4 separate regions of the Mus musculus genome follow, and all the other regions are reported to be linked to region 1. The links are microRNA targets in miRTarBase. Many come from high-throughput screens and were not tested one by one. Region 1 holds a microRNA gene; each other region holds the end of a gene's coding sequence.

Region 1 (7,124 bases):
TTTGTGTACTCACCTTATGAATATATACAAGTATGTAAGCATAAAAGTGCAAAACATTTAGTTTATTCTTCATATGAATTAATAAAATGAATTTAATTTTACAGATACAGTGTTGGCAATCATCTACGCAAACTACAGGTCACTGTATCTACCATATATTGTTCTTATATGGATATTTAAAACAGAGTTGTGATACTCATTTCTTCCCTACTCCCTCACTTATCCTAGAATCTTACCTTGCTCCACAGTTAAACAATGCCCCCCCCCATTAGTCTCCTTTCCTCTTCCATACCACCTGTGTTTTGTTACCCTTTTAGTAAGCTTTTCTCACAACTCTCTACCCAGTGGCCTTTTTCTATTTTTATGGGTTCTGTAGTTATTCCTTGCTGAACACACAAATCTAATAATTATTTTAATACTTGCATGTTACAGGAGGAAGAAAAATAACTTCAACGAGAAATTCTAACTTATATAAGTGAAATTACAGTCCCCCGTATTGTCTTGGTAGAGAATACCATTAATTGAAACAGAAGACACATCAGAGGATATTCTCTTGGAGGAATTTTTGGTGACAATTTGTAGATTGTGTGTGTGTGTGTACATATATGTATATATATTATACACAAAGTATGTCAAGTTTTAGCAACAATGTACAATTGGTACTTTGCTAAAAGATAAAGAGGATCATGGAAGCTACATTTGCAACATTTTTATATTAAAGGTATGATGTACCCTGCTTTACCTAATTTGTTGTCCATCATGTAAAACATAAATGATGATAGACACCATATAAGGTAGAGGAAGGTTCACTATGTTCATCACCTGGAACATCATTGTGGTATAGAAGCATTAACCCTTGTTAGAGCTTGCTGGCCTTAATTTGGCATTTGTATCTAAAGGACCAAAGTTTAGTAAGGTGCATTTATTCTTTTTTTTCCCATTTTTTATTAGGTATTTAGCTCATTTACATTTCCAATGCTATACCAAAAGTCCCCCATACCCACCCATCCCCACTCCCCTACCCACCCACTCCCCCTTTTTGGCCCTGGCGTTCCCCTGTACTGGGGCATATAAAGTTTGCAAGTCCAATGGGCCTCTCTTTCCAGTGATGGCTGACTAGGCCATCTTTTGATACATATGCAGCTAGAGTCAAGAGCTCCGGGGTACTGGTTAGTTCATAATGTTGTTCCACCTATAGGGTTGCAGATCCCTTTAGCTCCTTGGGTACTTTCTCTAGCTCCTCCATTGGGAGCCCTGTGATCCATCCATTAGCTGACTGTGAGCATCCACTTCTGTGTTTGCTAGGCCCTGGCATAGTCTCACAAGAGACAGCTACATCTGGGTCCTTTCAATAAAATCTTGCTAGTGTATGCAATGGTGTCAGCGTTTGGATGCTGATTATGGGGTGGATCCCTGGATATGGCAGTCTCTACATGGTCCATCCTTTCATCTCAGCTCCAAACTTTGTCTCTGTAACTCCTTCCATGGGTGTTTTGTTCCCAATTCTAAGGAGGGGCATAGTGTCCACACTTCAGTCTTCATTCTTCTTGAGTTTCATGTGTCATTCTTCTTGAGTTTCATGTGGCATTTATTCTTTAATGTTAACCTTGCAGACACATCAAGATTTATAAACATTCAGATACAACAATCATTACATGTTTTTAAATTACAGATTTAGTTCAGTATATTTTTAAATTATAATTTAATTATAATATTTATACCTCTTATTTTTCCCTCCAAACACTTTCATATTTCCCTCCCTGCTCTCCCTCAAATTGATGATGTTTGTCAATAATTGTTACTGAATGTATTGATGTATTTTTATATAGCTATTTATTCCTAAATATATTCTGCTAAGTCTGTATAGTGTTACTTGTTTGTATGTTTTCAGGATGAATGTTTTGCACTAGACAACCAAATGGAATGTTCTTCCATGAGTGCTGGGAGTTAGGAGACATCTCCCAATACTGGCTTTTCTAGTTGTGTATAGTTCTTTGTGTAGGATTGAGGAATCATGAGCTTTTCCTGGTTTAATCTCAATTTTGACAGCCATTCGTGCAAATAACTGCTCATAATAACTAGATGGAAATATGTGGGAAAGAATACTATAGAATTATTTCATAAGGACATATAAATACAATTAAGGTTTATATTTTATGCTGTAGGGTGAATTGATAAATTTTGAGTGATAATTAAGAGTTTTAAGCGGGACTTCACATTTTTGGTTTATTTTTAACCTTAAGTTAATCTAGTTTTATAGTATTTATAAGTAGAATATAATTTTCCAATTAACAGAAATAAATGTGTGTTTACCTCTAAGTGGAAGAAAACTTTACTCATTTATTGTGGCTTCGTGAATATGAAAATGGTATTCCAAAACTTAAAGTTTTGGGGCTTCTGGGATTTTAGATGGCCATTTGATCTTGTAGGAAATATTATTCTTTTATATGATAATATTTTACTATCATTTGGTTCACAAATAATTTTGAGACTATATGAATGGAGGGTATTAAGTTAGGAAATAAATAAAATAAATAAATAAGTAAATAAAAATTAGGTAATTTATGTACGCATGTCTTTCCCACCATGGTGTTAGAATATGATATAGGAAAAAAAAAAGAATATGATATAGGCTAGGTTGCAAGATTGACAAGGTAAAAGTATGTTTTACTATCCTTAGTATTTAGAAATAATAAATATATGTTTCATGCATAGTTGTAATGGTAACTGTTTCTCTGATTTTTGCTTTTTCTTTAACTTTCATTTTGATGAGTTTTGTGTTATTGCTAGTTCATTTTTTTTAAATCAAGGGAAAGATGTTTGGGGTTGATGAGTGAGGTGGTAGGGCAGATCTGAGAATAGGTGAAAGCATGATCAGAATATATTGTAAGGGAAAAACATTTTTAGTAAGTAAAACGTGCTGGATGTATTAATTTGAATAAAAAAACTGAATATTAGCTGTAGTGAAAACTATTTATAGAAATGGTGACATAAGATGATACTATGTGAAAGAAAATCATGATATAGTAGAATTGGTAGGTATTCTCTAAGATTTACTACTAAATGAGGTAAGAATGCAAGAATTGTGGAGTTATGATTTCTAATTGAAGGTGACAGACTAGCTTTCTATCAGAAGTATATAAAATGTCTCATGTGCATTGATCTACGTAGATTGGTACCTATCATGTAAATCATGTAAGCATGAGAGATGCCATTCTATGTAGATTAAGGCTCATAACATTCTTCTTTTTTTGTGGCCTTGGAAGATCATTGCAGTGTTAAGTATAATGCTTCCCGATCTTTGTTAAGATCTTGTGCCTTCAGAAACTATATCCTCTAAGGAGGACTTAATTTAAACCTTCAGAACACATTTAGATATGTTAATACAAATATGGACATTGATAATTTTATTCTTAATCTGAAAAAATAAAATGAATATAGTCTTATATTTGTTTTATCAGACTTTCAGATAAGCAAGAGGGCATGGCATCCAGGCATAATAAGAAGATTCTTTATAAGCTTCTTGTTTGCTGCTTTATGCTGTGATGCTGATGGTGACTTGATTTAAATGAGAACAGTTTCATTCTACATGTACTGTAAGTTTCATCCTGTATGTCGCATATAATGATGTTTATGTTCATTTTAGATGCTCTTTAGTGAACTTTGAGGTTTGCTGCTACTCGAATTCTCACAATAGACATTAAGAATATTAGCATTTGTATTTTCTCTTTTGAAATTTTAAGTTTTTGAATTAAAATATAATTCTGACTCACTTTCCTTCCCACCCTCCACTCTCCCATATGGCCCCCTTTCTCTCTCTCTCTCTCTCTCTCTCTCTCTCTCTCTCTCTCTCTCTCTGTGTGTGTGTGTGTGTGTGTGTGTGTGTGTACACGTGTGCACATAAATATGTGAGTATGTATATAATATGGTAGACTACTTGGTATTAAATAACTAATTTGCTGGCTTATCCCTGTGAAAAGCTACTTTTTCCACTCAGCATTGCTTAAGTGTTTGCAGATTAGTTTTACATGCATGCATACATACATACATACATACATACATACATACATACATACATACATACTGCATACATTTATTTATTTGTCTAGGGGTTATGGCTCAAGAAACCAAATGAGTTTGATCACCTCTAGGTAGTAATGGTATAATGACTAACTATTGCTCTCAGCTTGACTGATTTTTTGGAATCAGCTAATAGATGAGCCACAGGCAACAGGGTCAGATTATTTCAAATGAGAAGAGCCACCCTAAATAACAGACAGTGCCTCCAATAGCATCCTACCTAGATAAAAGTGATAGAATAGAAAAAGTTGTTGGTTTTATTTTTTTTTTTTTTACTTTGTGAGATTATTATATAATTATATCCTGTTCTTCCCTACAAACTTTCCATATTCCTTCTTGCTCTTTCCAAATTTACAGTGTCCTTTTTCATTAATTGTTACAAACTATTCCCTCTGCTATATGTAACCCCTCTGGCTAAAGAGGTTATAGTTTGGTTATCATTATTCACTGGCTAATATCCACGTAGAAGTAAATGCTTACCATATGTTTCTATCTGGGTCTTTTTAAAACTCTCATAGGATGATTATTTTTCTAGCTCCATCTATTTCCCAGCAAGTCTCATGATGTCATTCTTAACAGGTAATACGTCATTGTTTAAATGTACCACAGGCTTTTTATTCAGTTTGAGGGACACTTAAAAAATTGGATTGTTTTCAATTTTTGGCTATTATGAATAGATCGGCAATGAGCAGGGTTAAGCATTTGTCCTTGTGGTAGGATGAAGATCCTTTAGGTATATGCCCAAAAGAAGTATAGCTGGATCTTAAGATATATCAGTTCCCAACTTTCTGAGGAACCACCATATTTTCTATTTTTGATGTACAAGTTTGCAGTCCCATTAGCAATGGAGGAGTGTTTCCTTTGCCCCACATCTTCTCTATCACGTTGTCACATGTTGATATTTAGCCATTTTGACAGGTGTAAAATGGAATATCAAAGTAGTTTTTATTTGAATTTTCCTGATGGCTAAAGATTTTGCACATTTATTTATTTTGGTGTTTCTCATTCATTTGAGTTTCTGTTATTGTGAATTTTCTGTTTAGACCTATACCCTATTTTTAATTGGATTTTTATATGTAATTTTAAATTCCTTATATATCTTGCATATTAGTCTTCTGTCAGATAATGCAGTTTGTAAAAATCTTTTCTTATTCTCTAGGCTGCCACTGGGGTGGAGAGATGACTCAGAGGTTAAGAATTTGGCATCACTTCAGAGTTATAAAAAATACATGGATTTTCAGGTATTGTGCTGTGATAGATGATAGATGATGTGATAGATGTCACAGAAATTGCTAAGTAATGAAAAATGTATACATTTAAGATACTGAAAATAAAAATTTAAATGTACAAGTTTATTTTTTCTCCTTGTTTCTGTGTCTCTGAGTTAATGTAAGCCTCCCCCACTGCAGTTTGTAGATACAACTTTTTGGTGATGTCATTGTAGGTACATTACCCCTAAACTCAGGTGCTTTGGTCCTAAGAGTGCTTAGTCAGATACTTTATGAGAGATGCTCTATCACTCAGTATTACCCTAGCATGAATACTTTTCCATTAGAGGAATAAAAAGAAATAGAGGACATGAGAGAACTTGTTCATACAAGAAAATATGGTACAAATCTTATTCTCTTCTTTGGCAATCCTTATTCCCTTTAAGAAAAGCGTCAGCTCTCATTTTTGAGAAATGCAAAGAGAAATTAAACAGTTTGGATAGCATGATCTTCATAACTCTTAATAGTTTAGGTATTGTCGTAAATTGGCAATTTGATAAAATTTGAGAGGGATAATGAAGCTTTTGCTAAGTTATTGCTAAAATTGGTTAAATAACATTTTGGAGTTAGTCTCATGCTGAATACTGGGACTACATTTGACTAGGTTCTCTCTGGGTTATTAAAATTCATCATGTTTCTCACTTGATTTATAGTCTTAAATAGCAGTGACTTTTCACTTCAAGTAACATTGAGGTCACTTTTATATTAGTAGGTGAGTTAGGGTTACTTGATATATTTTGTATTGTCAATTTACCTTGCAAATGTACATAGATGAAGAAGCACAAAAGAATGAGCTCCTCCTACATGGGATCTAAATAAAACCATGTAGAAGAAGGGAAAAGGGAAAAGGTAGTATAATTTCCTTTCCTGAGAATATTAAAGAAATTTACTAGTATTATATCATGTTACTATGGGAGAATTCATACATGTCTTCATACATGTCTTTGGGGATTATGGAAATTATCTGAGAAATGCTTTCTTTACATAAAAAGTTGTGGAATGAGTTGGAAATGACTAACATGCTTAAAGTATATTCTTTGAAAACAAATTTTTAAATAAAAACTTAAAGAATAAAAACAGAAAGAACTTTCAGTGACTCCATAATCTGAAAAAGAAAATGGCAACAAGCTTACTCAAAGCGGTTTGTTGACACAAAATGAATGTGAGAGGGATCCCTTTGAACATGTATGGTAAAAGGTATTGTCTACTATATTCACTAAGACTTGTGAATATGTTAGGTCATGTTGCAAGTCCCCTATACTTGAACATATATGTTGAAAGCTCAAGATGAAGTTAAGTTTCTTATGGGCTGTATTTTATTCACCTTGGTGTTTATCAAGTGAATGACTATGAAAACCACCATGGTGGTTAAAGTAAAGTTCATAATGTTCTTCATATTGGTTAGAATATGTAACAGCAGTTATCCTTCACATGCCTTTCTGAGACATGTTGGAAATAAGTGCCTCCAGAAAGTGTATTCCCAGGTAGGCCTTAATTTTATAATGGTCACATCGTAAGTGCAACACTTCATTCTACAAGTCCTATATTCTGCATTATTCAGAAGTCACTCTTCCATGTCTAGCATGCTCCAAATACAATTTTGCAGGCGTACCATGTAGACTTTGTGGTGTACATGTACACAAACCAACAGTATGTTACTTTATGATAGAATGCTCTGTAGTCACTGTCATAGCAGACATATTTAAGATGTGTTCATGACATAATCTTTATTTTTAATTTGTGGGTTACAGGCAAAAAGTATCAAGAACCTAAAGG
Region 2 (7,124 bases), not on the chromosome of region 1:
CGGTTCCCACCTCTGGGGCCTCTGCCTGGGGCACGGTCACTGTCCAGTCCCTGCTGCTGTTCAGGAATCCGGAGTGCTACCCTGCAGGCCACAGAGGGCTGGAGAGATGTTTAATCCAGATCAGAGCCTCTGGAATTTCGCAGAAAAGAGCCATGGAAAAGTTCAAGCAAGCATTCCTCAGCCATTACTTTAGTTTGGACTCAGTATAGCAGGGGTGTGAGCTTTAAGCTTATAAAATAGGAGTGTGTCTCAGGGCCATCCCAGGTGTCTAGGCCAGTCTCCCTCCAATAGTTTGTTATGAACAAGAGCTAAAGCGTTCCGGAAGAACTCGGGAACATTCTAGACTGTCACTCCACTCAAGCCCTGAAAAGGGTATCAATTAGGATGAGGAGAGAGAGAGAGAGAGAGAGAGAGAGAGAGAGAGAGAGAGAGAGAGAGAGAGAGAGAGAGAGAGAGAGAGAGAGAGAGAGGAGAGAGAGAGAGAGAGAATACTCCTTTTATTTGGGGCTAATTAGGGTTGCTATCTGGGAAAACAGATTTACGAAATCCTTAGAACTGGATTCTGGGCTGGTGCGGTAGCTCAGTGGATAAAGGTGCTTGCCACTAAGCCGGAAGACCCGAGCTTACCCTGGAACCCACATGGTGAACTAAAGAACCGAGCCCTGAAAGTCATTCTCTGGTCTCCACATGTGCTCAGGTGGGACATAAAAAGCATAGAGAACAGAAGGGTTATGCTTCACAACAGAGCTGTCTTTGAAATCACTCAAAAAGATGATTTGTAACTGGGCATGTAATCCCGGCACTAAGGAGGCAGAGGCAGGTGGATCTCTATGAGTTTGAGGCCAGCTTGGTCTACAAAGTGAGATCTAGAATAGCCAGGGCTATTCGGAGAAATCCTGTCTCAAAACAACCACAACACCTTGGGGGAAAAAAGTTATATTTGAAACCAAATAAATGAAGAAGTAGGGACGTTGTTTGATGGGAAAGAATGAGGTGGGGGTTTTTGTTTGTTTTTAAAGAGTTACTTATTTTATGTATATGAATACATTGTTGCTGTCTTCAGACACACCAGAAGAGGGCCTCAGATCCCATTACAGATGGTTGTGAGCCACTATGTAGTTGCTGGGAACTCAGGCCCTCTGAAGAGCAGTTAGTGCTCTTAACCACCGAGCCATCTCTCCAACCCTGAAAGAATGCGTTTTTTATGGCCCCTGAGACGCTCCCAGGAAATGGAGTGAAGTTTCTAAGGAACCAAGGAAAAGAGAGGAAGATAAAGTAGTAGAGGCTCAGGGAGGCAGAAAAAGCTGATCAGATAACCCAGTGCCAGATGAAACCCAGACAAAATTGTCCCCAGCTTTATTGTGAAAGCCTTCTTAGAGTCCCATGGGGGCACAAAGTTGGGATGTTGGGAAAAGGAACGTGGCCTGAAGCAGACCTGGCCATCTGCGTTGCCTCAGCTCCCAGGGAATCCAGAGTGCAGACCCTACTTTGAGAAAAAGGATAGAGTGGCCAAGGATCCTTTCTCTCAGTGCCTGCCTCAGCAGACAAAAGCCCCTCCCTTCCAACTGGAGCCAGAGTCCTACTTGACTCCCTAAGCCTTGAAGACAGAATAAAGATTCTAGCTGTGCACCCTATGAGTGGTAAGTGCCAACGGTTATGAGAGTTCAATAAACATTGTCATTGACAACAGCAGGCAAGCAGTGGTGACAATGGCCACAGCAGGACCTTCCAAATAAACTTCCCTTTACTGAAGCCAAGGAGTGGCCAGAGACCGGCAGCAATAGTGAGAAGAGGGGGAGGAGCCAAGCTGGTTACTGCATGTCAGTCCAAAGAAAGGTCCCTGTCCCTGCTTTACTTTCACATCAGCAGGAAGCTTGAGCCCCAGGACACACAGGACACAGGGCACAGATGGAACTTTGACTATTATACACCTCACACACACCTCACACCACCTCACACACACATCACACCACCTCACACCACCTCACACCACCTCACCACCTCACACACACCTCACATGCACCTCACATCACCTCACATGCACCTCACACACACCTCACATGCACCTCACACCACCTCACACACACCTCACATGCACCTCACACACACCTCACACCACCTCACAGGCAATAGAACTAGGGCCTTCTCTCCAAAGTTAAGGCAGGTGGCACTCCCAGAGAAGGGGCATCCCAACTGAAACAGGAATTGAGCTGTAAATTTGGTCTTGGAGCACTCGTGTATACTTGGATGTGCACATGTGTGAGCGAGGGATCCACTGAGTACAGAAACTCAGCTACTACACAGCAACAGGTGGCTTAGCACCAGAGCACAGCTGGTCGAGGAAGATGAGGCTAAGGAGACAAATCAGAGGGAAACTACCGGGGTCCAGCCTCAACACAGCATCTGGATTCTCAACTGGAAGCAGGGATATCTGGAGGGCTCGTATGAAAACATTCAGACAACTTTTCGGGTACGAGCTGACAGACAAATTTCAAGGCCTGAGGTTGCACTCTATCTATCTATCTATCTATCTATCTATCTATCTATCTATCTATCTATCTATCTATTTATCTGAGGTTGCACACTTTTGCTTCCTCCTCAGGCTAGAGGGTGTGCTCTCTCTTTCACTCCCTTTCTTGCACTCCCATACTACCACACACACTTCATACCACCTCACACACACCTCAAACACACCTCACACCACCTTACACCACCTTACACACACCTCAAACACTCCTCACACCAACTCACACCACCTTACACACACCTCACATGCACCTCACACCACTTCACACATACTACACACCAACTCACATACACCTCACACCACCTCACATACACCTTATACTACCTCACACACACCTCATACCACCTCACACACCTCACACCACCTCACATGCACCTCACACCACCTCACATACACTTCACACCACCTCACACCACCTCACATACACCTCACACCACCTCACACACACCTCACATGCACCTCACACCACCTCACACACACCTCACATGCACCTCACACCACCTCACACATACCTCACACCACCTCACAAGCACCTCACATCACACCACACACACCTCACATGCGTTCTCTTTCACTCACTCACACACACGCACTCTCCCTCCCTTTTAACTTGTCCCAGTCTTTTATTGTTACTCCATAAAGCAGGTAGAAAAAAAGACACACACTGTATAATCATTACCAAACCAAAATTCAAAAGAATGACCACATCTCACAAAGAATTAAGAATTACGGTTGTTCCACAAAGTTTCAATTTTCCCCTATTCCCAGGCCTGTGGAAATAATAATTGCAAACTTATCATTTAAACTTTAACTTTTGACTTACTTTTCTTCAGAGCTCCGAGCTCTGAGGTCAGCTACATACGGTTTCCTGTGAAGCTCTAATGAAAAATGACATGGGCAAAGGTGCCAGGCAGTGGCCAGAAAGAGTCAAGTTAACCCTTTACTTGGCAGTTCTGCTAGCTTCTGCCTCTGCACATTGCACACAATGACTCTCCTAAGAGTCCCAGTGTTTTAACTTAGTTCTACTAGAATAGAATTTTATGCATTCTATATCTTCTTTCAGGAGTCTAATCTTTACTTGCATATCCATGCATATCCAAAGGAGATGAGGAACCACTCTCAAATGTGTGCAAAACTCATTTCATAACTTCAATAGCTTCTCCCTTTCTGAATTAAAGTATCCTGTGTGTGATGGTTTGTATATCCTTGGACCAGGGAGTGGCACCATCTGGAGGTGTGGCCTTGTTGGAATAGGTGTGACCTGGTTGGAAGGGGTGTGTCACTGTGGGTGTGGGTATAAGATCCTCACCCTAGTTGCCTGGAAGTCAGTCTTCCACTGGCAGCCTTTGGATGAAGACATAGAACTCTCAGCTCCTCCTGTGCCATGCCTGCCTGGATACTGCCATGCTCCCACCTTGATGATAATGGACTGAACCTCTGAACCTGTAAGCCAGCCCCAATTAAATGTTGGTTTTTATAAGACTTGCCTTGGTCATGGTGTCTGTTCACAGCAGTAAAACACTACGTAAGACACTGTGTTTGTGTTTTCTTATTCCATTTATCCCATGATTGTGTCTTTTTTGTTTGTTTGTTTGTTTGTTTCCGAGACAGGGTTTCTCTGTGTAGCCCTGGCTGTCCTGGAACTCACTCTGTAGACCAGGCTGGCCTTGAGCTCAGAAATCCACCTGCCTCTGCCTCCCAAGTGCTGGAATTAAAGGCGTGCACCACCACTGCCTGGCTAGTGTGTCTCTTATACTAATGATTTTCATGGTTCCAGTAAATTCTTTCACTTTCTGGTAATGGACCCTGTATGACTCTATAGTGTGTGGCTCTACTTCACTTTCTTAATTTCTAAACATAATTTCTTCAAACTTTCTTTGCAAATCAAGCATTAATCTGGAGCTACCATTGTGCAGTTACTACATTGTTTCCAAGATGAGAGCACACAGCATGCACCTGGGCCACTAGGAATGGCTGTGCTGTGCCCCATGCCTCAGTTTTTAATTATTTAAGAATCATTACATCAAGAAACATCTAGTTTCATAGAATTCACCAGAGCAGATGGAGAAAGAAATAGGAAAGTCAAGTATAATAGAATAATTATGCACCCCAATGCCAACTAAAAAGCACTCACACACAAGTGAGATCTATGCAGCCCTTGTCCAGGGCTAAGGGTCAGGAGAAATGGGAACACTTTTTTATAAATAAGCTGTCGCAGGCTTCTAGGATGTCTCCATCCAGGCCTGCTGTGAGCAGTTCCTTATTTCTGATGGTGGGTCTCCTGGAGGGATGTGTCTCCTGTTTCTCAGGGTCCCAGATGCCATCCATGTCATGGTATGCTGTCCCCAGCAGGAAACAGCCTGACCAGGATGGATCTCCTCTTTACAGTTTGGAATTCTACTTATTCTCAATATTTGGAAGGTCCCAAGTGGATCAGGAGAGATGGGAAAGAGAGGGATCTATGTAGATCATCAGATGCAGGAATCCAGGCTAGATCCACCCCCACTTTATTGGCTCATCCCATGTGAAGGAATAGGTACTAACTGGCCCACCATAGATGGGAATATATACCCACATATACAATGTATGCAATTGTCCATTTACCCAGCCCCATCTAAATTACCCACTTGTCTCCTGAGAACGGGAAGACAACATTTGCACAGTGTGGCAGCTGTATATATGAAGCAGAAAACGTGGTTTGGGTAAAGCAATGTGCCCAGCCATCAGGATGGGTCATCTTGGTACAAATCTCATGAGCCTCAGTATGGAAGCCTGATGACCTCTGAGGAGGGCGGAGGGGCTAGGATGGAGAGAAGAACCAGAACACAGGCTCAGTGACACAGGCTGGCGACCCACATAGCTGCTGTTTATTCTCCACATCACTGAGTCCGGGGGTTTGGAGTGGGTCAGAGCTGGGCCACTCTGTGGAAGTGTGAGCAGCTGTAGTTCTGCATCAGTGTAAGGACAGCTGGTTCCTCAGCCCACAGCTCTGTGGTGAAGCTCTGAATGCTTGGGTTCTTTCCAGAGGTCCTTCTGTGGTGGGGGTGGGGGTGCGCCTTCTGATGAAGCTGCTGCCTGGCTCTCTACACCCCAATATAATATGAACTCTGTTCTCTCCTGCACAGGACCCCCAAGCACTCAGAGAGAGAGAGAGAGATACTGCCCCATCTTCTCTGGGAAGGAGAAGTGGAAAACAGAAAGTGTTTAAAGTCTTCCCTCTCCCTCAGCATACTCTGACTTAAGGTCCTCCATCACACCACCACAGTCCTCTGACTCTCATGTGATCAGCCCCCAACCCTTCCCCCAGCCTGCCGCCGCCGGTCCAGAGCCAGCTGGAGGGCATGCCTGATAGTCTCCTTGTTGTTCAAGACGTTGTATCGGCTCAGGGTCACCAGCCGATCAAATTCCTTGGGCTCGTAGGTGAAATCCATCATGCCATAGGCAGTATCTGGCCCGTTGATGATAAAGTCCCCGAAGGCCTTCTCCTCAGCTGTTTGTCGTTCCACACCTGGGAGTGGGAAAAGCAAGACTAGGCTGGAGTACTCTGTGAAACTGACTGGGGGCTAGCTGATAGCCCTGGACACTTTCCTGCACAGGTGATCTGGCTTGCTCCCTCAGAGAGGCCATCTTAACTCTCAGGCCCATTAGAAAGAGATGGCTCATTGTGGACACAGAGGTCCAGGCAGCGGAGATTAGTCCAGGCCTCCAGGCAATGCTCTCAGACTAGCATCCCATCTTCCCCTGGAGGCTAGAGCAGGCTTGTGACTTCCCCTTACCTGGGGCCAGGTGCGTGCGAAAGGTCCTGTTGACAAGAGGGAAATGCAGCACGATGGGCGAGCAGGGGTCCTCTGCCTCAGCAAACAGATAGCATTCACGGGGGTCTTCAGAGTCCTTGGGGTCCACCTCAATCCTTGGGAAGGGGATCCCTCGGTCCCGGCAGTACTTCTCTGTCACCTGCAGGACCTGGACAGAGAGGTAAGCTTATGATCCCCAACTGGACTGCGGCACACTCAGGCTTCATACTAGCTCTGTATAGCCGAGTGACTTTCTGAGACACCTTTCTATTTGCCAAATAAAGGTGGTATGGTGGTGTGAATAAAAATGGCCTTCACAGGCCAATAGGGTGTGGCACTATTAGGAGGTGTGGCCTTGTTGGAGTGGGTGTGGCCTTGTTGGAGGAAGTGTATCTCATTCTCTTCCTGCTTGCAGCCTGCAGATCCGGATATAGAATTCTCAGCTACCTCTCCAGCACTGTGTCTGCCTGCAGGCCGCTATGCTTCCTGCCATGAGAATGACGGACTAAAGCTCTAAAACTGTAAGCCAGCCCCAGTTAGCAGGCCGCTATGCTTCCTGCCATGAGAATGACGGACTAAAGCTCTAAAACTGTAAGCCAGCCCCAGTTAGATGTTTCTCTTTAGAAGAGCTGCTGTGGTCACGGTCTCTTCACAGCAATAGAAACCCTAACTAAGACAGTTGGAAGTAAGTGTCTAGTGAGAGCATAGTGAATTAGCAATAATTAGCAAAAGCCAACCATCAAGCTAGTCTTTCATTCCTGCCCCTAATATGGCCGTCCCTTCTCCAACGCCTCCTCGTTCCC
Region 3 (7,124 bases), not on the chromosome of region 1:
GTTGTGCCAGCACCATTTGTTGAAGATGCTGTCTTTTTTCCACTGGATTGTTTTTGCTCCCTTGTCAAAGATCAAGTGACCATAGGTGTGTGGGTTCATTTCTGGGTCTTCAATTCTATTCCATTGGTCTACTTGTCTGTCCCTATTCCAGTACCATGCAGTTTTTATCACAATTGCTCTGTAGTAAAGCTTTAGGTCAGGCATGGTGATTCCACCAGAGGTTCTTTTATCCTTGAGAAGAGTTTTTGCTATCCTAGGTTTTTTGTTATTCCAGATGAATTTGCAGATTGCCCTTTCTAATTCGTTGAAGAATTGAATTGGAATTTTGATGGGGATTTCGTTGAATCTGTAGATTGCTTTTGGCAAGATAGCCATTTTTACTATATTGATCCTGCCAATCCATGAGCATGGGAGTTCTTTCCATCTTCTGAGATCTTCTATAATTTCTTTCTTCAGAGACTTGAAGTTCTTATCATACAGATCTTTCACTTCCTTAGAGTCACGCCAAGGTATTTTATATTATTTGTGACTATTGAAAAGGGTGTTGTTTCCCTAATTTCTTTCTCAGCCTGTTTATTCTTTGTGTAGAGAAAGGCCATTGACTTGTTTGAGTTAATTTTATATCCAGCTACTTCACCGAAGCTGTTTATCAGGTTTAGGAGTTCTCTGGTGGAATTTTTAGGGTCACACACACACACACACACACACACACACACACACACATATATATATATATATATACTAACATATCATCTGCAAAAAGTGATATTTTGACTTCCTCTTTTCCAATTTGTATCCCCTTGATCTCCTTTTGTTGTCGAATTGCTCTGGCTAGGACTTCAAGTACTATGTTGAATAGGTAGGGAGAAAGTGGGCAGCCTTGTCTAGTCCCTGATTTTAGTGGGATTGCTTCCAGCTTCTCACCATTTACTTTGATGTTGGCTACTGGTTTGCTGTAGATTGCTTTTATCATGTTTAGGTATAGGCCTTGAATTCCTCATCTTTCCAAGACTTTTATCATGAATGGGTGTTGGATTTTGTCAAATGCTTTCTCAGCATCTAATGAGATGATCATGTGGTTTTTGTCTTTGAGTTTGTTTATATACTGGATTACATTGATGGATTTCCGTATATTAAACCATCCCTGCATCCCTGGGATGAAACCTACTTCGTCAGGATGGATGATTATTTTGATGGATTCTTGGATTCGGTTAGCGAGAACTTTATTGAAGATTTTTGCATCGATATTCATAAGGGAAATTGGTCTGAAGTTCTCTATCTTTGTTGGGTCTTTTTGTGGTTTAGGTATCAGAGTAATTGTGGCTTCATAGAGTGAGTTGGGTAGAGTACCTTCTGTTTATATTTTGTGGAATAGTTTGTGAAGAACCGGGATTAGATCTTCTTTGAAGGTCTGATAGAACTCTGCACTAAACCCATCTGGTCCTGGGCTTTTTTTGGTTGGGAGACCATTAATGACTGCTTCTATTTCTTTAGGGGATATAGGACTGTTTAGATCATTAACCTGATCTTGATTTAACTTTGGTACCTGGTATCTGTCTAGAAACTTGTTCATTTCATCCAGGTTCTCCACTTTTTTTGAGTATAGCCTTTTGTAGAAGGATCTGATGGTGTTTTGGATTTCTTCAGGATCTGTTGTTATGTCTCCCTTTTCATTTCTAATTTTGTTAATTAGAATGCTTTTCCTGTGCCCTCTAGTATGTCTGGCTAAGGAATCTTGTTGATTTTCTCAAAGAACCAACTCCTCCTTTGGTTGATTCTTTGAATAGTTCTTGTTTCCACTTCGTTGATTTCACCCCTGAGTTTGATTATTTCCTGCAGTCTACTCCTCTTGGGTGAATTTGCTTCCTTTTGTTCTAGAGCTTTTAGGTGTGTTGTCAAGCTGCTAATGTATGCTCTCTCTAGTTTAATTTTGGAGGCACTCAGAGCTATGAGTTTTCTTCTTAGAAATGCTTTCATTGTGTCCCATAAGTTTGGGTATGTTGTGGCTTCATTTTCATTAAACTCCAAAAAGTAGTTTTACCAGGACAGTTTTATAGAGAAAGGTTGCCGAATGAGCCAGAGAATGAGAGAAAGAGATTGTCAGAGTTAGTTTGAGGCCAAGCACAGCAATTCAGTTGGAAGCCAAGAAAAGCCAGTTTGAATCAGTCATCTTGGAGGATTAGATTGTAAGGAGGCTAGAAGCTTCCAGGCTTAGGCCTAGGGATAGTTAGAACAGAGGAAAAAATGCTCTGGGCTCTGCCTAAGCTGAGCGTTTGTACAGCTCGGGTACAACTCTCATCTCATCCCTTTATCTGTGGAAATAAAAGTTACATTTATATAGTAGGCAAAAAAAGTTTGTTGAAAAATTTTGCATTTCTTCCATTTTATAAGCATTGCTTGCTAACAGTAAAGGACAATTTACAGCTACTTTTTACTTTTATTTATGACAGGCTCTTGCCGTGCAGTCTAGGGTGTTCTTAAAACTTGGCTCTCAAACTTGGCATCGTCCTGCCTCAGCCTCCTGAATGCTGGGATTATTGGCCTGTAGTACAATATCTGCTCTGCTCTTTTAACTGTTCAGCCCTAAAGATTTATGTAAATATGGCAGTGACATTAGTTTATTTCTGTTGAGCTTTGTGTTTGTTTGTTTGTTTTGTCCCTTTTATGAGTGCTGTTGGGGTTTTCCCCAACAACTACTGGAAAGTCTTTCCCCAGTTGAGCACTTCTGGAATTACAGTGGAGTGGAGCCAGTTCTGTATACCCAGCCTGTGAACTTCATTGCAGCAAGAAGATTTGCTCAAAATGTGTTTGCACACTGCTTGCTATGTGATGCCTGGTCTGGCAGTAGGGCGACTTAGGGCTTTTATGGTTCATCACACAAGAACATTATAAATGGATTAGGTAGGGCACATGGACATTTGTGATGGATGGCATTTCACAGTTCCCTGAAGCCTGATACCTTTTTGCATGTTGATTCTATTTTTAATTTCATGGGGTTTTTTTCCTCCTATTTTCTTATACTTACTGTCTTCCCCCTTTTCTATGTCTTTATCCACCTATGAGCATCTGTGGACAAAATCGGACTAGAAATTTCCAAATTAAAGTAGCAACTGAGTTTTTCCCCTGGGCTGAGCGAGCTCAGTACCATCCAACCCCATGAACTGACATCAGAGGGAACTAGGTGTTTCTCATTTACCAGGACTTGTGGCAAACCGTGAGGCTTTGTAGCCAAAACACATAGTGAGTGATATCTGGTTTATCCACTCTGTAACGAAGAGCTTGTGGTGAGATCTGTGAGCTGGGAATGAGGGTGGGCAAGAAGCACTTTCACCTTCTGTTCAGGGTCAGCTTGTCAGAATGACTTCGTTATTTCACCTAAAATAACATTAATTATGGAGATACACCCCATCCCCCAACCCAAATGTACCACAATGTGCAATGTGTGAGTGGCTGGCATCCTCCTCTGCATGGGTCCCATCATCAAAATCTGGATAGGGAGAACAAATGGTGCCTCTGATCACTCCAAAGAGTGACCACAGATGAATTGCTGAGTGGATCGGGACACGAGACTGAACCGTCTTTCTGTCTACTTTGTCTTCTTTCCTTACTGGTTTTCTTAGCTAGAACTGTGGCATTAAGATAAGAGCCACAGGAGATGATAGCTTTGGCCCCTTTAATTGGTGTTGAGCCTTTGACAGACTTGATGTTCAGAGAGGTCATTATAAGGTGGACATATCTGCATTGTTACTTCCTCATCCTGTAAAAAAGGAAGAACATTTTAACCCAAATAAGCTAGGGGTCCCCCCCCAGAAAACCCTTTTTAATAGACTGGAGGAGCATTTTTGGTTTGAATTCCAGTAAAAAGTTTAACAAAATGCCTACATATGTATAAAGTGAAGAAGCACACGACTTTGAAGTTATAGGGATCCAATGTTTTTATGATATAAATATGAGACACAGAAAACATAAAATAGGTATAAAATATCTTACAGTTTGTACAGTTCTTTCGAAGCTTTTACAGTATACATCTTTAGACAATTTCACAAGTGGTCAGTAAATGGGTGAGTCACTCCACAGAGAAGAAGAGCAGAGACATTGCTGTTCACAGACAGGATCAGTCCTTGCTTTGGCAGACACCCATCTGCCCAGACATTTCAAGACAGCCTGGTAAACAAAACCTCATGTGACAGGCCAAACTTTGTTCCAGATTGTATCAGGAGATCCCACCTGCTCCTACCATTCTGCAGGAACAGTACCAACTCAGACTTCACACATCCTTTGTCTTGGCTGGAATGTAAGAATTTGTGAGGAAAACTACTGTCTCCCACTATCTTTCCTGTCCTTTCTGCTGTCTGTAAGGTCATCTAGCTGTGATAAATGACTGAGGCCCTCTGAATTCCTATATTACAGATTATTTACACAAAATCTCACTGGGAGATCTTTATTGGGGATGAGAAATAAGAAAAAGGCATTGTCTAAAGAATCAAGCTCTACACTTGTACTAGTGCATAACAGAGTGAAAATACAAATTTTGAGGTCTTCCATTAGTCCTATCACTCCATAAAAGTTTCCACATAATATAGACACCTGCCAGAGGCGTAGTACCAGGTGCTATGCTTTTCACGTTTCTGAGATGGGATGTAGAAGAAGGATAACTGTGTGTAAAGTAGTTCATTAAAGTTTAGAGAGACACTCACCACAAGCCAGCTCTTTGTCACTGAAATGCTCCAAAGAGGTGTGCAAACAGGCAGTGGTCTTTCATCAAAGGAATATCTTAAATGATTTGAGTCCTTTAGGGGGCAGCACCATGTACAGTTCATATTCCTCTGTAGACTTTATGCTCTTGGTCGTAGGGTTGAAACTTTTAAACACTTTTTCCTTTGATTTTTCCAGACAGAGTTTCTCAGCATATCCCTTGCTGTCCTGGAACTCATTCTGTAGACCAGGCTGGCCTCAAACTCACAGAGATCAGCCTGCCTCTACCCACCGAGTGCTGGGATTAAAGGCATGTGTCCCCATTGCCCAGCTAGGTTTGGAACTTATTTAGTTCGATGAGACTCTTAAATTGCTTGTCTTGCATATTAAATTACAAGTTAGTGTGGTGCCAGACCTTCCTAGCATGGAAACAGTCTCCTCAAAAGGACACAATCAGATGAGATGTTTTTTGAAAGCTAAAAGGAAGCTGACAAGAGAGTTTGTGAATTGCTTCACAGGCAACAAGACAAACCCACTGATTTTAACCTTCACGAAAGAATACTGGGACACTGTTACTCACGGTTTTGTTAAGCAGAACAATTTACATTGTTAGCAGTTTGCCTTATAATGAGCAGAACTATACTTGCAAATTTGTGTAAGTGACTAAAAGGTGTTTGATTCACGTCTGCATTTTCTAAGGGAGAAGGTCCAAGCTCCATGCATGTCTGATACTATATATATACATTCTACACACATGTAAATACTGCCAGCTATGAAAGCCGTCACACCCATTAGCTTATTTGTAGATAATAAAAGTGAAGACAACTTAAGCACAAATTCAGTTCAAAAGAGAACCTTATGATAGATTACTTGAGAGAGAGAGAGAGAGAGAGACTAGAACATGAAGAATTAAACACTGTTCACAGACCATTTCTTTTAAAAAGTCACAGATTCTTAATTCTACCCACTATAGAAAGACTATCTGGATAAACGTGTTATTGTGGTTTGACTTAGCTATTTAGCTGTGTGTATGCCATGGTAATTGCTGTTTGTGGGTAGTGAGTGAGTTTTATTTTGTATTTCATAATGACTAAGACCTAGAGCTATAAGTTGGCCTGCAATTAGACAATGTCAAGTTCAATTAAGAAGCTCTGGATTTAAAACCAGGCTACATCGCTAGGAGTTCACTTCTAGGTAGATGTGCTGATGTGCCTATAAGCAAGGGAGGAAGGAGGCGGGCAAGTGAAGGACAGTGGGGAAAGAGGCTCTTGATGAGGTCTGAGGTAGCGAACACTGTAGGGATCAGTTTCACAAACAATGCAGGCATGTCAAAGTCACCACGCTTAGGCTATTGTTTCCGTTATGAGCGGGGTTTGGGTAGAACAAAGTAAGTCAGTTTGCGGAAGGCAGCAAATGGATTCACCAGGGACTCTTTATCTAAGTATGAATCAGTAAAGCGGGCTGCCTGGGACACCCTCAGGAAACTCTAGACTTATTTTAGCGCATGTTTGGTATTGGTTTCAGTAAAGAAAGAAGGTTAGAATAGGAATGCTCAGACTTTGCATGCTTGAGCTTTTCTTCCCTTTGATTCAACTGACTGAAAACCAACGACTCACATTAAAAACCGTTTAGGTAAAAACCAAGGATGTCAACAGTAGTGGCCAGCTCTACCCTTTTAAAGTCAGTCAATCTAAAGGTGCTGAACGTCTGCAATGAGTTTTGAAGTGAGATCCCAGTATACCCTCCTGCAGATTCTGGTCCTTGAAATTCTGGATTAAGCACTATCACCGTGGTCCATCTGGGCTAAGACATGATTGCTTTTCCCAAGCTGCAGGGATTCTATTTTCTTCTGTGCGTACTTCAGTTGGATCTTCAGAGCATCGTTATCTGCTTTCAGGGTATTTATTTCCTAAAAGGAAATGAGAATAAGGTGTGGTAATAGAGCAGCAGTGAATAGGAAATTAGTGACAGTATCAAGAGCATTATATTTGATTGGCATCTCCTGTTCCCTGTGGTTAAGAATTATAAACTATTTTCAAAGCAGTTATTTAGCTGTGAGTATAAAAGAACACATTAACTATCATGGGCATGCACAAATAGCAATTACTCTTTGTTATCAGATCTCAGATGTGAGTGGCTAGCAGGACAGAACAATCCATTCTTGGGCATTGGGTGGAGGAAGCCACAACTTTTGGGTAGTGTGACGCAGGCATCGTAACTTGACAGAAAGTAGTCTGGTCTGGTCTGTTCTGAACTATGAAAGCAGTGCTTCAAAGCTCTGTGAAGTGAGATGTTACAGTTGATGTAACCTAAGTTCATAACCCCCTGTTACTGATAACTCATACTCCTTTTTGATGGAAGAGTTTTGCCTCATTCCCAAATTGGGATGTAGTGTTGTAATGGCAGTAATTTAATTATATAGCCAGTGG
Region 4 (7,124 bases), not on the chromosome of region 1:
TAAGGCTGCTGGGAGAACTAGATCAATTGGATGAGAACAGTTTCTTTCAGAAAGATACACCAATGTGGAAACTGCTGCAAGGTTCTAGCATCAAATTGCCTGTTGGGACCTCCCTGGATAGAAAGGGCTCTGTACTGCCGGGCAGGCCACTTGTGCCAGCAGCTTCCCCGTGCTTCTGTCTCTGTTGAACCTTTCTGTGCCACCAGAGAGAGCTCAGGCAAACTGACTGTCCACAAGGAAACAAGTAGACCTGGGAAGAGTCTACATGCTTGCTTATCTCATCAGCCTCAAACCACCCACTGGAACAGGCACACCACCACAGTTCCTAAAACCTGTCCCACAGCCTTCCGACTTAGCCATGCCCCGAGTAGCCATGCTCTTGATTGTGACAATATGGCAGCCTAGTAGGTTAGACAGTTGGGGATATAATCATTGGTCTGTTTCTGAAACACATGAATTACTGGTGGGAAAGGCCCAACTGCAGTTCGACCTCCACTGTGTGCTTAGCTGGAAGACCATGTGCACGGCTTAGCAGTCTGTCTTCTGTGACACTGCACACCTCTTACCTCACTTCTGTAAATAAGGTTGTGAATCTGTTTTGTAATGTGAAAAATTCATAAGATAACATTGATATTTTGATTTGTAATATTTCTAATTGGTAGATTTAATTGAAAAGTAAAATTAATTTATTTTTATATGTTCAGGGGAATTTTAAAGAAAGTCAAACCTTTTGTAGATAATTTAAAAGAATCAGTGTGGTTTATTTTATATATGTAACCCACTGGTTGTTATTCTGTAACAATTTGTATAAATGGTAAATTTTTGAATGTGCTGTTATTTTACTTAGATGTAAAATTCCACATGTATTAAAATGTACAAAGTTTTTGTTAATAAAATTTAATGATGTTTATAGCTCTGTGCCCTGCCTTCTTTGTTGGAAACGCGGCTGTCCTGAGCTCTTGTGCGCAGTTCCGTGGGGAGCTTGTCTTGTAGCTGTCCGATTTCTCAGGGGTGGGCTGTGCAGGAGAGCATGGAGCCACCCAGCTGTGTCCAGAGATGGCAGTGATTACTGAGCAGCGTGGGTGGTGTCCACAGTAAGAAGGGAACTGGCTCTATAGGAGGATTTGTTCATAGCACACTTGATTAAAAACTAAATTCTATTGTTCACATATTTAGAGTAAATGAGAGGCATTCTCTAAAACACAAATACTTATGTGTTCAGTGATCCTTGGATCACAGATTCACCATAGTTTTTACCCCAGAGTACAGAGATGCATGGTATTTCTTCTTGGTAATTAAGAGTTGAGTGAACATGGAAAAAAACCTAACCCTTGGCTCCTAACTGTATTTTGTTTTGATAGGGGCCATGTATCCTGGATAGCCTTGGACTCGACGTAGGTAGCTAAGGCTGCCCTTGAACTTCCTGTTAAAGCTTGGGCAGTAGGATGTCAGGTTTGTGCTGTCACCTAGGGCTCCCTGCAATGAGTCTCTGGTTGAGCTTCATCTCCAGCCCTAAGTCCCCAGCTTTATTACAGATTGAATTAGGTTTGTAGGAAGAGACAAAGAAATGAACTTTAGAAAGTTTTTTCTGTTGGCCAGATGTGTTGATGACACCTGCATCCCAAACAGCAAAGGGGCTGGTCTCCGGCCCACAGTTCCAGTACTTCTTATGCTGAGATCTGTTTCATCAAGTTGTTGCTCCAACAAAACAAAGGAAGGGACAACCCTCAGCTCTGTGGACAGGTTCGGGACTAGGAGCAGAGGGCTTAGGATGAGCGCCCCTTTGCTGTTGCTGTGTGGTTCATAGTTCTGATCAAACCCACAGGAGAGTGCTACAGTTGGGTATGGTGGCTTATACCTGTAATCTCTGCACTTGGGAGGTAGAGCAAGGAGGTTCAGGAATTCAAGGTTATTCAAATTCAAGGTCAACCTGTAAACCAGTCTCAGAAATCAGTATCAGAAAACGAACCAGCCACCCCTGTTAACCCTCTTTCTGTCCAAATTAAAGCAAGCCTTTAAAAGGAAACATTTCTGTAACACTGGAACTAGGATCCTGGGCCTTGGAGGGGTTAGCTACTACTTTACCACTGAGCTATGTCCAGCCTTTCTCAATGTTAGCAGCAAAGTGAAGGACACCTAGCGCCCTATCACCAAAGAGGAAGCCCTCTTTTTTATTCTCCCCAGTCTTTATGCTATACACACACACACATATCCCATGTAAAACATTTTCCATTACATTCCTATAGTTAAAATATTATACATACACAGAGTTTTGACCTACTTTTGTTACTTTATTAAAGTGGCACATATGAAAGAGTTTAGATTTTAGGAGCTGAACTTTATATAGTTCCTTAAGTTCCTGGTGAACCTTTGCAGCTTCCACCATGTCGACCTGTCTGGCAAAGCAAGGGGTTGTTGGGGAGCCGGAGGGTGGGACCTGTACAACACTGGAGTCTGATAGGAGAGCAGAAAAGAGCTTTGAACATGTGTGCAGCTAAGCTGCTGTCAGCAGCTGCACAGGGCAAGAGGCAAAGCATGGGCCCCAGGGCTGGCTGATGGGGACAGCAGTGAGGGAAAGAGAGGCAGAGCCAGACATGCTGTTTTCTAGATCGAGGGCCCCAGGAGATTTGTTATCCAGTTACTTCTCACCAGCCTTCTTCGTGCTGCAAACTTGGAATAGCATGAAGTGGCCTGAAGGGGGTTTTCTGGGCTGGGCCACACAACCTGACTCATCTGATTTCCTCAAAACTGCTCTGTAAGACATGGTGACTCCTGGCAAGCATGTATTGCTTTTCTTTCCTTGGTTGCTGCCACAAGAGCAAGCTTCCTCTAGACTTGACATAGCCAGACTCTGTTTTCCCTGTTTCACAGATTAGTGAGGCAATGGTTTAGTCACACAAGGCCATGTAAGCATTGCACAGTAATTATCTGAGGCAGGTAATACCTGTTGACTTTTTTTTGTAGTGCTGTCTGGGATAGTTTCCTGGATAGAGCCAGTGTGGAACTTGAGATTTGTTGGGGTTGAGACCCTTTCCACTACAGCAAACCAGCTACCCTGTTCTTCAGGGCCCCTCACCTGCCCATGCCCTTCCCAGGCCCCAGGATAGGTGAAAACCTGGGTGTGGTGCTGAATAGCTGTCATCCCAGAACTCAAACCATAGGAGGATCTGGTCATCTTTAGCTACAGAGTGAGCTCCAGACCAGCCATGCTGTGGCCTCAGTGAGCTGTCTCCCATAAGTCTCTAGCATTTAAATACTTGGCCTTTAAACAGTCTTGGCTGTTTGGGGAAGACTAGGAGGTGGAAGCCCTATGTGTTGCTTGGCTCACTGCACCAGTATCACATAGCATGATCACAGAACAGAAGTAAGATGTCATAGTACAGAGGGACAAGAGGTAGCAAAGATAGGACCCATGTTAGGACTGGGGATTGGGGCTGATGTGAAGAATTCAGGGGAACACGTGGACATGTTCTGGCATAGAAAAGCAAGTTCGGGTCCCTTAGGGATACTGACCCCCAGTGGCTCTGCTCAGTACCAATCAGTGGCAACTTTGAATACACCGCTTGTTCTCTCTCCCCCTCTTCTCCTGCTCCCCCTCCCCCTTGTATTAGTTGCTTGTCTGTTGCTGTTACAAAACACCATGACCAAAGCAACTTATAAAAGGGTTTATCTGGGGCCTATGGTTCCAGAGTATGAGTCCCTGGTGGCTAGATGGAGGTGGCAGTAGCAGTTCATGGGATGAGTGGCCTACAGGAGCCACAAGCAGCAAAGCTGACTTTGAAATGGCTTTTGGAACAAAGCCAGGTATTCAAATGCTAGCAACTTACGGGAGACATCTCATGAAGACCACCACAGCATGGCTGGCCTGGAACTCACTCTGTATCTAAAGGTGACCTGATTCTCCCACGGTTTGAGTTCTGGGAGGACAGCCATGCAGCACCACACCCAGGTTTATAGGGTGCTGGGGATAGACTCTCAGGGCTTCATGAATGCTGGGAAGTACTCTACTAGTTGAGAGAGTTCCGTCCCAGAATGTGGGGCATTTACTTCTATTCCCATGAAAGAATGTGATCAAAAGAGGACTCATACTGATTTTCAGGATCAGAAAATGCTATGGGTGCAGTACTTGGGTGGACAGTGATGCGAGCAAGTTGGATGTGAGGAGAGGTTCAGGAAACGGATAACGAGCTGAAAAGTAAGTAGTAAGTGGGAGGCCATGTCTGACACCCTTAACGACAGTCCACAGGTACTTACGGGACAGGGCCTCTCTAGAAAACCACTCTTTAACAACATGCATAGTGGCTAAAAGCAGAAGCAGCTCTGCTGGAAGTTGGAGGCTGAAGCCAGAGTGCATCTTTGCCAGGCCTGTTCTTCAATGAGAGGAAGAAGACCATTGGCTTCCTAGGGACTTTGTGTGTGGTTATGCCCATGATAATAGGTCAAATTGCCACCACCTTCAGGAGGCCAGCTGGGTCTGCTTGACAGACTTGGACTCACATCTTGGAAAGGAGGGGTTGGGGAGGGAGTCATGGAACAGTTATGTGAGTAGCCAGGCAACCCCCACTATCCAGCTGTATGCAATTCTGTTCTAATTGCATGTGCTTTAGGGTCTCTGGAAGGTGTTAGACTCTGTAGGTAGGAAGGATTAGGGAAGCTGGCTCCCTCAATGAAGCCTTGGGAAGACACCATCCCTTCCGGCTGCAGACCTTCCAGTGTGGCTGCTTTAAGGTCACCTCTGCTCCAACCCATAAGCCCTCATCCACTGTAAGTAACCCTATATAAACTATATAAGGTTAGCCTGCATGGACTTTGGAGTTGTTGGTTTGTCTTTGAGACCTTAGGCGAAGGGGCAGACATTGAGTTTTGGCAACAGCTCATCACACTGAGAGGCCTTACCTGCTAACAGTAACATACTGGGTACTGAGGTGTCATTGTGTAGAACTGGGCATGACCACAAACAGCACACTGTAGCCAGTGGAGCACATCTCTTGCTTGGCAGCAGTTTGAAGTTTCCTTCTAAAGTTTCAAACAAGGGGCTGGACTGAAGTTCAATTTCCATCACCTACATACATGGTGACTTACAGCCATCCATACAACAGATCTATGGGATCCAATGTCGTCTTCTGGTACACAGACATACACAAAAGCAAAGCATTCTCTCCAAAACACAACAAAACTGAAGAACAAGCCCAAAGCGTTTTCAAGTTTCAAACAAAAGCAAGAAATTCTTTAAAAATTTTAGATCCATGTATTCATGTGCATGTGTCTATGTGGGCTCGGATGTGTGTGCTGTACCACAATATGAATGCAGAGGTCAGAGGACAGCTCCTGTGAACATGTGCTTGCTGGAGAGTGAGTGCAGACTGGCAGGCTTAGCAGTCAGCGGTTTTATCCACTGAACCACCTTCCAGGCTTAAATTTCTCATTTGACAATCAAACTTATTTGCTTTATCTCAAATTCCACCTGGTGCACCTGTTTTTCCCTCCTTCGCTGGCCAACAGAGGACCTCATATTTTTGGCACCACACTCTCCCCTGGAAACACAAGGAAGGCCTGTAAATGGCACCTTACAGCATCTATAATTGATTCATTCTTTCTTTCTTTTTTTCTTTCTTTCTCCCCCCCCTCTCTTTTTCTTTCTTTCTTTCTTCCTTTCTTTTTTTTACTAAGGCACATGATGTTTAGAAATACTGAGGTACAAAATATAAGTTTCTGCATGAGATTTCTCGAGTACTTGTTTGGAAAATGATGGTCATTGATCGTCACCTTCCAGAAGATTCAGCTTTTAGCCTGCTTTTTCTTTTGGACCAGTTCAACCAGCAGCTTGTATCTAGCAATGCAGTCTTCCTGTGGGAAATAAAGAAAGAGGTGGTGACAGTTCTTTCTTGGGTCAGTGCTCCTGGTGCTGTCAGCTCGCTGTGACCTCTCTGCGAGTTACTGCCCAGTCCTAATGAAGAAGCCTGTGTTCATTTCCTTTACAATCTTCTGGGAAAGCCTAGTTGGTCCCAGGCAGACCTGGTCAGAGAAGATCTGCTGCAGGAATAGCTGAGGGTTGCCTATGGAGTGCAGTGTGGCGTCCCCACTCAGCTTGCTAACCCTTCTACCATGGGAACTCCCTCTCATCACATCCCAGTCCAGAGAATCCAAGAAACCTGGGGCTACAATGCTCTCATGCTTTGCTCGTGCTTCTCCCTGGTGGCTGCTGGGACCTTCCTATGCAGCACAGAACTAGCATGGACGGTACCTCATGGAGTGGGAAAGGTGGAGAAGATGGAAGGAAGTGGCCGCTATTTTCAGGTGGGCATGATATATATTTTAGAATCTATTCTCTTCCTGTCTAGATGATACCAACCCTATGGTACTGTAAGCATGTTAGTTCAGGGTCCAGGGCAAATGACTGCTGTGCTAAACAGTGTCCTTAATCAGGTACCCGGGACAGGATGGGTGCATCAGTGTAGGATGAGCATCTTGTGGTGAGTGCCTCCCTACATTCCACCATCACCCACCCATGCCTTCAAAGTATTAGCACAGAAACAGCCATGGCCACTCAGCATTCAGCCCTCAACAGGACAGTGTGGGTAGTGCTGAAGGCTGAGCAGGCAGGAGGCAGTGTCTCCTGACAGAACCTGAGCTCCCTCCAAGGCAGCTGACACCAGATGGTCAGTGGGCATCCCTCCCGCGCCTGTGGGGTTAGGTTGCAGTCAAAGCTAAGGGATACTTGTGGGCCATGGAAGCCCTGCTCCTCTCTGGGGCAAACAAGAAGGTTCTGCTCCTCTCTGCTGCTTTAATTTTGAGCAAAATTCAATTTATTACACATGTAAATGGCTGAGTCTGACAGAAGTTAGAGAAACTCAGTGAAATAATTACTTTCGGCAAACCAGCTGTAGAGATTGGAAGAATTTGTGCTTAAAGAGATTAATTGCTAATGGCTTATTTTTCTCTCCAGAAACTCAGTTTCATCAACGTAAAGTAGGTAGACCTGTGCACTCAGGGATATGCATGGCCACAAGCTAGGCTTTCCAACATAGAATTTCAATTAAGGAATTCAATGTGCCCAGAGGCTGCTTTTGATTTCTGTGTGCTCCGGGTGCCTCACACTTGGAACACAGCCTTCAGGGAGCACT

Evidence for each region. Region 1 holds the annotated microRNA mmu-miR-741-3p (UGAGAGAUGCCAUUCUAUGUAGA, at 3,203-3,225, shown strand). A microRNA usually pairs through its seed, bases 2 to 8, with sites in the 3' UTR of a target mRNA and lowers its output. Matches are read on the target gene's strand: a 7mer-m8 pairs with bases 2 to 8, a 7mer-A1 pairs with bases 2 to 7 and ends in A, and an 8mer does both.
Region 2: miRTarBase lists Pla2g4f as a target of mmu-miR-741-3p. Seed matches in the 3' UTR shown: 7mer-m8 at 5,679-5,685.
Region 3: the mRNA of Rasgrp1 is a reported target of mmu-miR-741-3p. Seed matches in the 3' UTR shown: 7mer-A1 at 5,567-5,573.
Region 4: miRTarBase lists Dnajc1 as a target of mmu-miR-741-3p. Seed matches in the 3' UTR shown: 7mer-A1 at 4,013-4,019.

What each region holds. Positions count from the first base shown.
Region 1 is chrX:66,792,910-66,800,033 of GRCm38, reverse strand. Mir741 (microRNA 741) reads left to right here and starts at 3,159; the gene lies at 3,159-3,229. It overlaps Mir463 (microRNA 463), which reads left to right and starts at 737; the gene lies at 737-811.
Region 2 is chr2:120,294,594-120,301,717 of GRCm38, forward strand. It overlaps Pla2g4f (phospholipase A2, group IVF), which reads right to left. Exons shown (of 20, transcript NM_001363073.1): 19 at 6,304-6,490; 20 at 5,373-6,035. The coding sequence ends at 5,812. Among named protein-coding and RNA genes, the nearest start is that of Pla2g4d, 9.1 kb to the left of the region's middle.
Region 3 is chr2:117,276,073-117,283,196 of GRCm38, forward strand. It overlaps Rasgrp1 (RAS guanyl releasing protein 1), which reads right to left. Exons shown (of 17, transcript NM_011246.3): 17 at 3,911-6,604. The coding sequence ends at 6,470. Among named protein-coding and RNA genes, the nearest start is that of Fam98b, 30 kb to the left of the region's middle.
Region 4 is chr2:18,211,479-18,218,602 of GRCm38, forward strand. It overlaps Dnajc1 (DnaJ heat shock protein family (Hsp40) member C1), which reads right to left. Exons shown (of 12, transcript NM_007869.3): 12 at 2,271-5,847. The coding sequence ends at 5,779. It overlaps Mllt10 (myeloid/lymphoid or mixed-lineage leukemia; translocated to, 10), which reads left to right. Exons shown (of 23, transcript NM_001252560.1): 23 at 1-912. Among named protein-coding and RNA genes, the nearest start is that of Gm39761, 18 kb to the left of the region's middle.